Linked DNA regions of Arabidopsis thaliana. The protein of the gene in region 1 interacts with the protein of each later gene in a pairwise test. Each region holds a gene or a part of one and is shown in the gene's direction. Other genes may lie near its edges.

Region 1 (7,898 bases):
GCCAATTTTCTCTTTGGTTATCACATTGGGTAATAATATAGCCAATTCACTGTTGCCAAATTTGTGAAGTAACAGTCGTTGTTGTTTGTTTCACTGGCCTAGTTTGATTTCTATACCAGAAGATTAATCTCTGTTCGTGTAGTAGTGTTAATGCTTGGTTGTGTTACAGAATTCGAAAAAAAGTTTCATTTTGACATTGCTGGTGAGAAACAGCTTCAATTTGAGCTTACAAAGATGTTGATTAGATTGTTTTTACAGAGTGTTGATTTGTCCCCGTCTTGACAATTTGTTAGCTTCCAGTGAGAAGAATATGAGTTAGTCAGGTTGATCTGGATTAGTTTTTCGAAAGCTTAGTACTTATAATACTATCAGTTTGTTCTTGCAGAGTGATGAATGGCCCCATCGTGTCTATTGCGCGTGAACTTGGGTTTGAAGGCAATTCTATTCTTGAGGGTCTTGTTGTGAGCATATTTATTGCCGGTGCATTTATTGGTAGCATAGTCGCCGGTCCACTAGTTGACAAGTTTGGCTACCGACGCACCTTTCAGATTTTCACGATACCCCTCATTCTTGGTGCCCTTGTGAGGTAATATCTTGTTACTAAGGTGAATCTTGATTTCGTTATGTTAGTAACAATTCCATGATGATGTTTTAAGTTGTGAGGTAGCAGCATAACTAAATTTTACTTTTTCTCTCAGTGCACAAGCTCACTCCTTGGATGAGATCTTATGTGGAAGATTTCTTGTTGGTCTTGGTATTGGCGTCAACACAGTTCTTGTTCCAATATATATATCCGAGGTAATCTAATATGTGATTCCTTTTCAACTTCATGTTTTAACTATTTGGCTTCTTCTGCTGTAAGATCTAGGACATTTCTTAAAATTGATCCTATGTACTCTCAGACTCTCAGTACAATAAGTTGTGGTTTAGCATTCTTTTGCTTAGCATATTTTGCATTTCATATGTTCGGCTGAAGAGTCTTGTTACTTCTGATATTAAGCCAACCATTTTTATTCTATAGGTTGCTCCGACGAAATACAGAGGTTCCCTTGGAACTTTATGTCAAATTGGCACTTGTCTCGGGATAATCTTTTCTCTTCTCTTAGGGATTCCTGCAGAAGATGACCCTCATTGGTGAGCTTCATTTAGCTATCTATACATTTCACTCTTCACTTCATTCTCCTCATGTATACTACTGTTCAGGTGGAGGACAATGCTCTATGTAGCGAGTATGCCTGGTTTTCTTCTTGCACTTGGTATGCAATTTGCAGTAGAAAGTCCCCGTTGGCTCTGTAAGGTATAAGTCGCCTCTTTTAATCATGAGGAAGCATTGATTTTCCATGTTGAAATCGTGTCTCATGATACTTGTTTAGGTTGGACGACTTGATGATGCCAAAGTAGTGATAAGAAACATCTGGGGAGGATCTGAAGTCGAGAAAGCTGTAGAAGATTTTCAGTCGGTTATGAAGAATAGTGGCTCCAACTTAAATAGCAGATGGCTGGAACTCCTTGATAAACCACATTCACGAGGTCATGTTAAGGTTGCTTTTAATGTTAGTTCTAACTTCTAAGGGTGTTATATTATACCATAAATCAGAAACTGAAAACATTCAAGTTTAAGAATAACCTTTTCCAGGACTTTGATCTAAGAAACTGAGAATATATAACTTCATACATGAAAAATCTATGTAGCTAAATTGTATGTCTTGTTGATATAATGGTTGCAGTTGCATTCATTGGGGGCTCCCTTTTTGTCCTACAGCAATTCGCGGGCATAAATGGCGTTCTTTATTTCTCATCTTTAACATTCCAAAATGTTGGAATCACGAGTGGTGCTCAAGCAAGTCTATATGTTGGAGTCACAAATTTTGCAGGTTCTCAAGTCTCACCTATATCAACTTTAAATTTAGATGATTGTTTTTTTCTACTGTTTCCATCACAATGTCCCTTTTCTGAACTGTTGGGTCTAATAGGTGCTCTGTGTGCGTCTTATTTGATTGATAAGCAAGGAAGAAAGAAGCTTCTTATCGGTAGCTACTTGGGAATGGTAAATATCTTTTTCTTTTATCACATAAACTCTTTTGCTTTTCACTGCTTTAGCTTATTTTGATTGAATTGATTTGGTGTCACAGGCAGTCTCTATGTTTCTTATTGTTTATGCTGTTGGTTTCCCCTTGGATGAAGATCTGAGCCAGAGTTTGTCAATACTTGGAACACTCATGTAAGTAGCTTGAAGTCCAGCAATTACTAGTCTCCTTTTCTCAGCTCATATAGTACCCAAAAAAAGACAGAAACGTATCATATGTTTGGTCCTGTTACAGGTATATATTCAGTTTTGCAATTGGAGCTGGTCCTGTAACAGGTCTCATCATCCCTGAGCTAAGCAGCAACAGAACGCGTGGAAAAATCATGGGTTTCAGCTTCTCTGTACATTGGGTATGTGTTTTTTTAGTTTTCCCATAAATCATTTTATAACCTTTTGAAGTTTGAAGAATGACGAAGCAAATGTTCTTCAGGTCTCCAACTTCTTGGTTGGTTTGTTCTTCCTGGATCTGGTGGAGAAATACGGGGTTGGAACGGTCTATGCCAGCTTTGGCTCAGTATCATTGTTGGCAGCGGCATTCTCACACCTCTTCACGGTGGAAACAAAGGGTCGATCACTAGAAGAGATCGAACTGTCTTTGAACTCCAGAGACGACCTGAGTTAAAAAAAAAAACGGTATAAGTGAAAGAAAGAGAGAAAGACCTCAAAATTTTTATCAGTTTTTCATCAGTTGTTGTAAAATGTAAATAGCCTGGAAATTAGCTTGTGAGAAATCTTGTGAGTATATAGATATACTTAGGTATGTAAGAAAAGATTTATAAAAAATGCGAAAGAAAGTTGACAAGGATTACACAAAATACATACTTATGAAAGGTTTGTGCCTATTTACAAGTGGTAAGACGTTCTTGATTTATAGCTTAATGTAGTAACATTGTCTCGATCTAGACTATACATGCTTACCATGTCATGGTGAAAATCGTGAGTCCATAACTCATGATCTCTATATATTCATATTCATATATAATACTGGTTTGCACGTCTGCAAACAAAGATAAAGATTTCTGATAATATTAAATTTATCCCAAGAATATTGAATATAAAGATGCTAGCTGGTTCTCTGAAAAAAAAAAGCGTACACAGCTTGTCATTGAATTTATAACCTATACGAATATGAGGCTCGTAGAAACAACTCTTAAGGAATTGTGAGAGAATGTTACTTTTAGCCGATCAAAAAATTTGTAACATAAATACACTGACAAGATATTTGTATTATAATAAGTTTTCGAAATTTGAACACAATTCTATGCATCATGCTTTTTCTTCTAACAAGAAGAAGAATTTAAACACAATTATATATTTAACGCGCCAAAATCGCGTGTGAAGTCTCTCTATTAGTCAACGCTATATCTTGAAAGGGTCTCGAGACTCTCCAGCCATTTTATTCTGCCTTCCTCTCTATATTTAGAAGAACAAAAATTGAAAAAAAAATCCTTAGAGAGAGGAAAAAAATTTAGAGGAAAATCTTCTAATTTGGTTTTAATTCTTCGTGATTAATCGCTAATCCAGAGTGATTAAGAAATTAAAACCCCTTGAGGAACAAAGAAGACGTTTGGGTGAAATTAAAAGCGCGACGACGAGGACAATGCCGAGCAAGCTTAAAAAAGCGATTGGTGCGGTTAAAGATCAGACAAGCATTAGCCTCGCCAAAGTTGCTAACGGAGCCACCGGAGGCGGCGATCTCACGACTCTCGAAGTTGCGATCTTGAAAGCTACGAGCCACGACGAGGAAGTCCCAATCGACGATCGACTCGTAACAGAAATCCTCGGAATCATATCCTCCAAGAAATCTCACGCCGCCTCTTGCGCCGCCGCGATCGGTCGCCGTATCGGGCGTACACGGAATTGGATCGTCGCGCTCAAATCCCTAGTCCTCGTCCTCAGGATTTTCCAAGACGGTGATCCTTATTTCCCTCGCGAAGTCCTCCACGCCATGAAACGTGGCGCCAAAATCCTCAATCTCTCCAGCTTCCGCGACGATTCGAACTCGTGCCCTTGGGATTTCACTGCTTTCGTCCGTACATTCGCGCTTTACCTCGACGAACGTCTCGATTGCTTCCTCACCGGAAAATTACAGAGACGGTACACAAACCGAGAACAAACCGGAAGAATCAGCACCAACTCAACAACAAGATCCCGGTTTAATCCCAAAGCCGGAATTAAATCCCACGAACCGGCGGTTCGAGATATGAAACCGGTAATGCTTCTTGACAAAATCACGTATTGGCAAAAATTACTAGACAGAGCAATCGCGACGCGGCCGACGGGAGACGCGAAAGCCAACAGGCTCGTGAAAATGTCGCTTTACGCCGTCATGCAAGAGAGTTTTGATCTTTACAGAGACATTTCCGATGGATTAGCGCTTTTGTTAGACAGTTTCTTCCATCTGCAATACCAATCTTGCATCAATGCGTTTCAAGCTTGTGTTCGAGCTTCGAAACAGTTCGAAGAGCTTAACGCATTCTACGATCTTTCCAAATCGATCGGTATAGGAAGAACATCGGAGTATCCTAGCATTCAAAAGATCTCTTTAGAGCTTCTTGAGACATTGCAAGAGTTTTTAAAAGATCAATCGTCGTTTCCAGCGAGCTCAGGGTTGTATCCGTCACCGAATAGTTTTCTTCCTCCGCCTCCATCGTCCAAAGATTCAGCGGTTTCAAGCTCGCTTGATTTTGGGGATTCCACGATTGATACGTCGGAGAGGTATTCAGATTACGGGTCGTTTCGTAGTACTTCGTTGGAGGATTTGATGAGCAGGACTGAAGCAGGGACTAGTAGTCCTCCAATGTCTTGTCATTCTGAGCCATACGGAGGAGGACGAGATGATCCTAATGGGAATAATTTTGATACGGTTTCGACTAAATCGCTTCCCAATAATCCCTCTGTTTCTGCTTCCAATCTCATATTAGACCTATTGTCATTGGATGACGTAAGTAACACGGCAGAAGCAGAAGATGTTGAAGACAAGAAGAAGCAAGACGATTCAAAGGCAGAGACTTTCGATCCTTGGGAGGCGTTGATGTTGAGAGATGATCCGAAGAAGAAGATAGAAACGATTGAGGAGGAACCTTCAACCGCTGAGGACCATCAGAGAGATTCAGGGAATTGGTTGCTTGCGTTAGAAGAAACTGCTACGCAGGTGCAGGGTAATAACTCGATGGCGATAGTACCGTTCGGGTTAGATGATCCGATGCCTGCGTTTCAAGCCGCCACGGACCAATACAACCCATTCTTGGAAGAACCAGTTGCGCAGTTAGCTACAGCCGGAGAACCAATGATCACGTTCGGTGGCTTGGCTTTGACAGGGTTTCAGCCAGAACCGACATTTCAGGTGAACGTTCCTGATGATTTTGAGCCGTCTTCTACACCAACATTTAAGGCCACGGAGACTTTGCCTATGAAATGTGACCCGTTTACAACATTTGAGAGTTTTGGGTTCGGAGAGACATTTTCAGAAAATGGAGGGGTAAATCAGCAATCTGTATTGCAAGAACAGCAGATATGGTTGCAGAACCAGAAAAAGATCATAGCCAAGCACTTGAGTTGATACAAAATTTATTTGGCTAGACAGAGGTTGAGATGTTTCTTTGAGTTTTTCTTTTGTTACATTGTCAACTTAACTCTTAACTCATTTTTCCATAACTTAGAGAAATGTGAAATTCAGAAATTCTTTGATTAAAAAGATATTTCCGCGGATTCTATCTTCGTACTTGCATTCCTGTGTATACACGATGTATTTTGTGTGTCTTGTATCATAATCACATTGAGAATTTGATTTTCAAGTATATCTCAACGAATAACACTCAAATATCTAAGTTCACCTTCTGAATACATTTACGTACACGGTACACTTTGGGATTTACTTTTGAATATGTTATTTTCTTTGAAGTTTTTGGGAATTGAAATTTAGCTAGCATTTTGATCATCGTGATGATGTTATGTAGCATTTAGTTTATGTATTTTTGAAAATATTTATGTATTCATTTTTAGTCTATATTAATATAACAAGTTTTCACATAATCACACAACAGATGCATGCATCTAATGTGTGTGTATTAGATGAATGTATCCGATATGCGTATTAGATGCGTATATCTGGCAAACAATTTTTTGCATTTTATTTTCCGATATGCATGTATTTATGTGTTATGATATGCATCCGTGATAATGCGAATGATAAAATGAATGTATATCGGTGGAAGATAACGAAGAGGGAAGCCAAATGGAATAAATTAAGGAGGTCCACTAGTAGGTCAAGTTGGCTTTGTGGTGTCGATAACATGAGATTGACCAAAGCTGTAGCTTGACCCCAAGGCCACGAGGGAGAAAGATCTACCAAACCAAAATCATCATAACACATCTCTTTCTAGTATATAGCCCACCACAAATATTAATTCTTTTAATAGTTATACACCACAAATTTTATCCCCCATTGGCCATTGACTAGAGTCGTTTTCGTCTTTGACAGTGGTAAAAGCTTCTGTATATGTGAATTTAGGATTCCACCTTTCTTAGGTTTCTCATTACAAGTTGATTTAACTTCTTGACTTCTCAAGTTGTTGTTTTGTAATTTAGTAAAAATTTGCTTACAAGTCATACATGATTGAATATAACACCGGCTGCTAAGCCTATTTTTCTATCATAAGTTTCGCTTTCGAGTCAAAATGTTAGTCAACATGAAATAAAACACGTTTCTTTATTTGTTTTGCTTATTGATCAACTTTAAAATAGTCCCATAAAATAGCAAATATTAAGAAATTTCAAATCAATACATTAGTTGCCAAAACCCGTCTGTGATATTATACTTTTTGAGGCTCCATAATAATGACGTGAGATTTGTTTGTGACTGAGGAAGTGGAAAATAAAGTTAAGCATGTCTTACTATTATCAAATATCAGTTTTTCTATAACAAAGTATGAATGTTGATCAAAGACAAAAACAAAAAAAAGGTGATCCACCTTTCTCCAAATAGAAAGGAAGTAAGGCAATGAATGTTTTTTTTTTTTTTTTCCATTGCATTTGCTTTTAAATCCTTATAAGAATTTGAAAGAAAAATATCTTATCAACTCTTAGAGGTGATCTTTGGGCCAAAGAGGGAACCACGTAATCGAATCTGAACTTCTCCGCTTAAATGGGAAATTTTATTAGATCTGATAAACGGCCAAAAGTGATAGCTCATGATTCTTAATATAGACGTGCATACAGAGATGTTGTTACCGGCCGAAGAGCAGCTTCGTAATCAACGGACACAAATAAACCACTATTGGTCCATCAAAATTAATACAAAACGAATGAAAACTGCTGTGTCATAAGACTAAATAATTTTGTATATTATTATGATTTAGATGGATGCGGTCTACAAATTTTTTTAACAAAAACCAACCATTAGTTTGTTTAAGTTACTTGAAAACAAGAAAAGGTTCAGTGAAAGGTGATATATAAGCTATTATTATTATACACAGAGTAAAAGGAAGAAATGTGAAAAGGAAGATTAATCCACACTAAAAGTAAAAGGAAGAAAACGGGTCAAACAATGAATCGTCTGACTGAGTAATAATATACGTCGCTGTCATATATTTTGTATAACCATAAATTTTTTATATTTTTTCCGACCCAAATTATTTTTAGTTTTCTATAGCTAGTTACTAAATTAAAGGTGATGAATAGTAATCATGACTTTATGTCACACGATAAGGTTATTATCACCTACCTTTGAGTATATTTAGGATTTTCCGAAGACTTGGACGACCCAACTCAGTTTGGATAAAACCTTGTGGTCTATTCTAAATTTAATTCT
Region 2 (6,834 bases), on another chromosome or scaffold:
CGCCTAAGCTCATGGCAATGTAAGGCTCACAATTCATTGCCTAACCTAGATGAGGCTACGCACTATCACAAGGGCTCTCGCTCTAGAGTGCTTTGGTATGAGGTGCGACTTACGTTACTATGCGTGTGGGAAATTAAATCCATCATTTAAATATTTAGATATTTATGCTTAAACATTAATATTAACTTACTTTTTTGTTTTTAAAATTAATTGCACTTGAATTTATTGCTGCTACAACTATGAGCTATTCTTAAAAACCCTAGAATCCTTCTCTCGTTAAATTTTAATTTCAGCTTTATTGTCTTTTCATCTTCCCACGACGATGTTCCTTTTTTTTTCTTTTTTACTGAAAGATTTCCATTATATAATACAAAAGAGGAATACATGGATAGAATACGTTTTTGAAATGCGGATTTGAAATATTTATGTCGGCGGAAAACAGAGAAATCCTTGGAAGCTAAAGCCCGATACACGGGAAACACAAAAAAGAACTAAAATCGGAAAGTGAAGCTCTCTGGAATCACAAGGAAAGTCGGAGGAGAGCAGTAGTCTAACTCTAGTCTACGACGATGATGTTCCTTATATATATATATTTTTATCTAACTCTAGTATCTCTAGTCTCTGACTCTCTCTATTCTCCCAACACCCTACTATATCTTAATCATCAATTCATCATCTCTGATTTAGTTCGTATTTGTCTGATTCAGTTCCTCCTGCTATGAAACTTGATCCGAGAAGGAAATATGCAATTGTTGTTCCTTTTAAGTTTTAAACATGGTAACTTTGTAAACAAAACACAAATAGTAGAGTTTATGTGCAAAAAATCAGATAAGATAAAACTAAAAAAAGCATGCTTAAGAGGCTGAAGTTAAAACCAATACTCAAATGATGCTATCACTAGCCATTTGATACGAATAGGATGAATGTGATTATGAGAAATAAGTTGTTGAAATCTAGCCTAGTTAAAGACGTTAGAGACGCCAACACTAGGCTAGTCAACCGCATTTAAAGAAACACAAAAAGGCTTTTAGTTTTGCAGTAGTTATGGACATATTTGTTGCTCCAACGTAACTCCTCTTGATGTCATGAAAGAAAGAAAAGATAAAACCCATAGTTTTGGAGTATGTAATAAGAAGCTTAGAAATAAAGCATGTAAACATAAATCAAATTGAGTAAAAAAAATTTAGATGAACAAAACCTTTTTAAGAATGTTTTTGTTTCAAATTCTCCCTTTTGATTCTACGACATTTTAGTAACTCTCCATATTTATATGTTAGAAATTATTCTATTTCTTCTTTATTGATAAATACTAAGAATGTATTCCACCGCGATGTTGTGTAGATTGAATATTTGGTAAACAAAATATATAAAGTTCAAAATATATGAACATTTAATTGACACAATTGTTTGTAAAATATATAACTTTTTAAAAAAATTGTGATAAAACAATACGAAAAATGGGGAAAAAGACACGATTCTAAACGACTAGAAATAACATTGTAAAAAGACATAACTGTTAAAAACAATTTCTAATTAATAAATTTATATATTTAACGAAGAGTTTCAATATAAGAAAATGCAACCATCAAAACTATTTATTCAAATTAAAAATAAAATAAAAATGTTTTACGAACGATTTTGAAGAAAAGACGAAAATGGAGGGGAAAAGACACAATTTTAAATGACCAGATGCAACTTTGTAAAATACAATTGTACAAAATATTTTTTCAATTATTAAAAATTAAAATAAAATATTAATGGAGGGTTACAATGAAAAGAAACAACCATAATATGTATTTATTCAGATTTAAAATAAATAAAAATATTTTACTATCCGTAACAATGAAAAGACTCAACCATATGAGATATTTATTTTGATTTTTTATTATGTATTAAATATTTAATGAAGAGTTACAATGAAAATATTTAACCATATAAAACATTTGTTCAGAAAAAAACTAAAAGAAAAATAGGTTACAAAAATATTACGATAAAAAGAGGCAAACAGGTGAAAAAGAGTTATAATCTAAGGACGCTACTGAAGATAATATATCAATGGATGCAACAGTTCGTCAAATAAATTAAATGATACAATGGTTCATAAAAAAAAAAAAAAAAATTGCAATGGTTCGTCAGAAAAATCAAATGTTGCAATGGTTCAACTGAACAATTGCAAATATTTAAATGTATTTTAGTAAATTCAACTTTTATTTTATTTTATGATTACATTCCGATTGTAATTTCGTCAGCCTTACAGCTGGAAAACTCTTGATCATAATAACAATGGAAAAGAAGATGTTAAAAAAAAAAAAAAATTTATATAGAGACAAGCGACCACATATATTAAATATGCCAAAGGTTGTGCGTTCGTCAAACAAACTAAATGTCACAACGATTCATAAAATAAATCAAAATTTGCAAAGATTAGTCAAATAAATTAAATGTTAGTTCAATTAAATGGTTTGCGAAAATTCATTTACACAAATTAAAAATATATTTTGTGAAGTTTTATACCGAGAAACACGATTATAGATATCAAATATACTAGATGTTGCAACGGTTTTTATTAATATTAAGGGTTACAATAGTTCCTAAAATAAACAGAAAATTACAATGATTTGTTAGTAAACCAAATGTTGCAGTAGTTCAACTAAGCGGATATAAAAATTTGTTTCATATTTTAATAATGAAAATATAAAAAAATGTATGTTGAAGAGTTATGAACAAAAGTTACCATCGACTTTAACGTTAAAGAGTATTTTAATGATGAGATACGATAAAAAAAACAACTGTGAAAAATAACCGTAAATATTTCAACAAAATATGCGATAAAAAGATACAACCAAAAAACATAACCATAAATATGTAACAAAAAGTTACGTTATATAAAAAGATACAACAATTCAGATACAATCGTAAAAAGATACCCAACTAAAAAAGATATAACCGTAAAAAAGTCCTGACTATATTTCAATGAAAATACACGATAAAAAGACAGAACGAAAAAAATCAGAAAACCCCGTAAATATTTAATAAAAATTTACGATAAAAACATAACCGTTCAGAAGTGTTTGCGATATAAAGACACAACCGTCAAATTTCTTTGAAAAAATACGATAAAAAGATACAACCGAGAAAAACCCAAAAAACTCATAAATATTCTATCGAAAAGTTGCGATAAACAAACACAACCATTCAAAAGTGCTTGCGATAAAAGAACAACCGTAAATGTTTCGACTAAAAGTTACAATTAAGAGACGCAACCCGAAAAAGTTACAGTAAATTTGTTAACGAAAATTTACGATATATAAACGTAACCATTTGAACTTGTATCCTACTTTGGTTTCTAATAAAATTCAGATGACAAAGAAAAAACGCAACCATTAAAAAAATGTAAAAGACTATTTATTGAGATTGTCTTATTATTATTAGATTTACTTAACTCCAAAAAAAAACCATGGAGGAGGTAAGTCCAATACACCCAACCCAAAAAATAGACAAACCCAGCCCAAGCCCAAAAAGCCCTTCTATTTTTATATGTAGACGACAATAATTTTTACAGACCTCAAAGCAAAATTAATAAATTATCGTCTTGACGAAAAATCGTAGAGGAAAAAAAATCCCCAAATTGTGTGACCGGAATTAGGGTTTCGACAATGTCGTCCGGGAAGCCAAAGCAAGGCGACACACGATTGGTGGTTGCTGCCACTACGGCGTCGGCATTGATGGAAGCGAAGAAGGCTGATCACGGAGGATCTTCGTCTATCGTTGAGTATAAACCGCCGGTGATGCTTGAAGATGAAGAAGATCTAGAAGTAAAGCTCCGACGTATCCTTGAGAACGTTCCTGTTCGTGTTAGTAATACTTCTGGAAGTTCCGCTGGTTCTGGTTCTGGAGATTTCCATCAGGTAACTAAACTAAGCCTTTCTCTTAAATCGATAAGGCTTTGTATCTGGAATCTGAAACTGCAGATAAGGCTTTGTATTTTGTTATTAGGCGTAGTTAGGTGTGGTAATCAATTACGAGAAGTTCATTGTTGGGATCTGAATTATCTTAGTGGACTTTGTGTTGACATTGTTTTCTTAGTTTTGTGATGGATCACAATGCCTTTATGCCTATATAAGAGTTTGATAGAATGTTCCATAGACTATCCTGTATTAGTCTTTTGATGGCTGTGATCTGTGAATGATTTCAACTTCTGTATATGAATTCTGTTCTTCAGTAACTGAAAATCAGCTGGATTGTTTGTGAAGAATGCCTGGTCTTTTGTTCTTAGGCATGGCTAAGTGTGGATTCGAAGCTATAGTCGATTAATTACTAGAAGTTCCTTGTTGTACATGTGATAGGAATCTTAAATTTCTTAGTCTATAAGTGTTTTGTGACGTTGATTACTTAGTCGGTAGAGCTTGAACTGAGAGTATTAGTTGCGAGAAGCTCATGTGGGTATTAGTAATTAATGGTTGATGGTCGTTGTGTTGATTCTATAGGTTGTGGCTGAGTGTTATCTGAAGTGTGGCCCTGATTATTGATAAAGCGTGTGTACATCATTTTCTTATTATACTAGACATCTAAACTTGTGCAATACTGATGCATTGTTTTTCTATTACAGTACCGGCAAATGAGGCGGAGAGAACAAGACCGACTAACAAGGATGGATATTGACTATAACAAGCGGTTAAAAATGGCAGAGTTTACTATAAGAAGAGAAGAGAAACAGAAAGCTGCAGAGGAAAAAACATCGAAGAAGCGTTTGAAACGCCAAAAGAAGAAGCAGAAGAAACAGGAGAAGAAGCAAAAACCAAACACTACTGAGGAAGAAGTAAAGCAACCGAGAGTAGGAGAAATATCATCTGACGAAGGTGAAGATGAAGTAGAAGAAGAGTCTGTGCTAGAACCTTTACGTCCAATGTTTAATATCAAGTTCCAAGAGAACCGTTCATAGCTTTTATTGTGACATGTTACATGATTCCAAAACTATCTTTGTGAGATTCGTTTCTTTCTTTCCTTTTGTTTTCAACAATGTACGGGAAAAAGAAATGGAGCAGGTTTTAATCGGCTTTTGTATTGGATTAGGGTTCATCAAATCAACCACCAATGTATATTGACAAGTAAACCAAAATTCTTTAGTCGAAAATTGTTAAAACGACTAAACTTTGGTGCCAGCAGCTAAGCTCCATACACGCAAGTTCCCACTTTTGTGTCCACTGAATAGCAATCCTTGAGGACCAATTGTGAGTGTGCCAATCGTGTGGTCCCATCCAAGGAAGACGATATCAGACATTTGTCCCAACATAAGAGTGATGTTACAGTGCCAGTATGTTGCTTCAAGGTCATTATACATTGCAGGGTGTTGAGATCCCACACCTTGATTGTTTTATCGACAGAGTATAGCACTTGACCTCCAACAACAAAAGTACAAAACAAGTGACTTCACCACTATGATGTCCCTCGAGAGATGTCAAGTATTTGAATGGATCATCAGACTCAGAGTGTGTAGTAGCTTTCCAGACTAAGCTACTACCACAACTTGTTCCAGCAAAAAGCATTCCGTTTAATATAAAAATACCCCATCTTTGAATTGTTGATACACCGATTTAACATCTCTATATTCCAAAGTAATGTATATATTGTTCACAATGGAAAATGGAGATTAAAGGAACAACAAAAATTGTGAACCAAAAAAAAAAGAAATGCCAAAAGATAGAATCAGATCAATTACTCAAAGATAAGAATGGTTTAAAAGCAAAAAAGAAATTTAGTTAAGGCCATGAATGGTGACATAGACCGCACAAACTGCTTAAATTGAAGAGACGACTATGTGCGTAAAACGAAGAGACTCAAAACAATTTTGGGATTCGTGAGAGATATTGATTCGCTGCAATGGAAGAATCTGTTCATCAATCGATACGATTCGGCTCAGGTTTCTTCTCTCTTTCTCTCATTGTTTCATTGTTCTACGACTCCATTAACGTGTAGATCTACCGATTCATATGATTTCTGAACTGATGCAGTTGCAGATTTAATCATGTGGAAGAATCGACGCGGAGGGTTTCTTCTACTTGGATCAACGACATTGTTATGGTTCCTCTTTGAGAAATGTGGATACAGTTTCTTCCCCTTTGTTGTTAATACTCAGCTTCTCTCCGTCGTTATACTCTTCCTCTGGGCCAAATCTGCTATTCTCTTCAATAGGTATCATCATCTAAACCTGATTGTATAATGTCACATTATTTTTGGTTTGCATAGTTTTAGTGAAGAAGAATGTCACAATGTTTGCATAAGTTTGTTGTAGATAAGAAGATAATGGTTACAGGTTTAAGTATGTTTGCTAAAGCTGAATCTGAAATTTCTTGACCAGACCTATGCCTCTGGGCCAAATCTGCTATTCTTTTCTATAGGTATCTAATTTGTAGATAAGATATGGTTAAGTATGAAGAAAAGTTTGCATTACCTCTGTGCTAAAGCTGAATCTGAAATTTACTGTGATTGTTATTGACTAGGCCTATGCCTCAACTACCTAATCTTGAAATCACTGAGGAATTTGTGTTTATGGTGGCTGATGCTATACGAGTCTGGATTAATACCGTGCTCGCTGTTGCTCGTGAGATTTACGTGGGAAGAAATGCAAAGCAACTCTTTCGGGTCAGCAAACTTGTCCCTTTTGTTTTTTTCCAATAGATTTCTACTTGAAATTGATACATTGAGATTGCTTATGGTAGGTGAGTGTTGTGTTGTGGACAGTATCATTTGTTGGAAATTTCTTAAACTTCCTCACAATACTCTATCTTGGTGAGTAGTTTTTTTGTTTTTCCTTTGTTCTTTACATTGTTCATT

What was found.
Region 2: the proteins of AT1G05020 (region 1) and AT2G15270 interact in a two-hybrid assay, tested with the Arabidopsis thaliana proteins (one large-scale study listed by BioGRID).

Annotation. Positions count from the first base shown.
Region 1 is NC_003070.9:1,433,134-1,441,031, reverse strand, and holds AT1G05020 (ENTH/ANTH/VHS superfamily protein), read left to right. Parts: upstream 1-3,268; 5' UTR 3,269-3,686; coding exon 3,687-5,648; 3' UTR 5,649-5,877; downstream 5,878-7,898. Other genes in the region: AT1G05030 (Major facilitator superfamily protein), read left to right, coding at 1-29, 386-586, 699-798, 1,022-1,134, 1,204-1,297, 1,374-1,530, 1,728-1,874, 1,974-2,047 and 3 more. UniProt on the Arabidopsis thaliana protein: Adaptins are components of the adapter complexes which link clathrin to receptors in coated vesicles. Clathrin-associated protein complexes are believed to interact with the cytoplasmic tails of membrane proteins, leading to their selection and concentration.
Region 2 is NC_003071.7:6,634,311-6,641,144, forward strand, and holds AT2G15270 (PRKR-interacting protein), read left to right. Parts: upstream 1-3,520; 5' UTR 3,521-3,656; coding exon 3,657-3,908; intron 3,909-4,609; coding exon 4,610-4,942; 3' UTR 4,943-5,119; downstream 5,120-6,834. Other genes in the region: AT2G15280 (Reticulon family protein), read left to right, coding at 5,881-5,920, 6,012-6,192, 6,501-6,642, 6,720-6,789.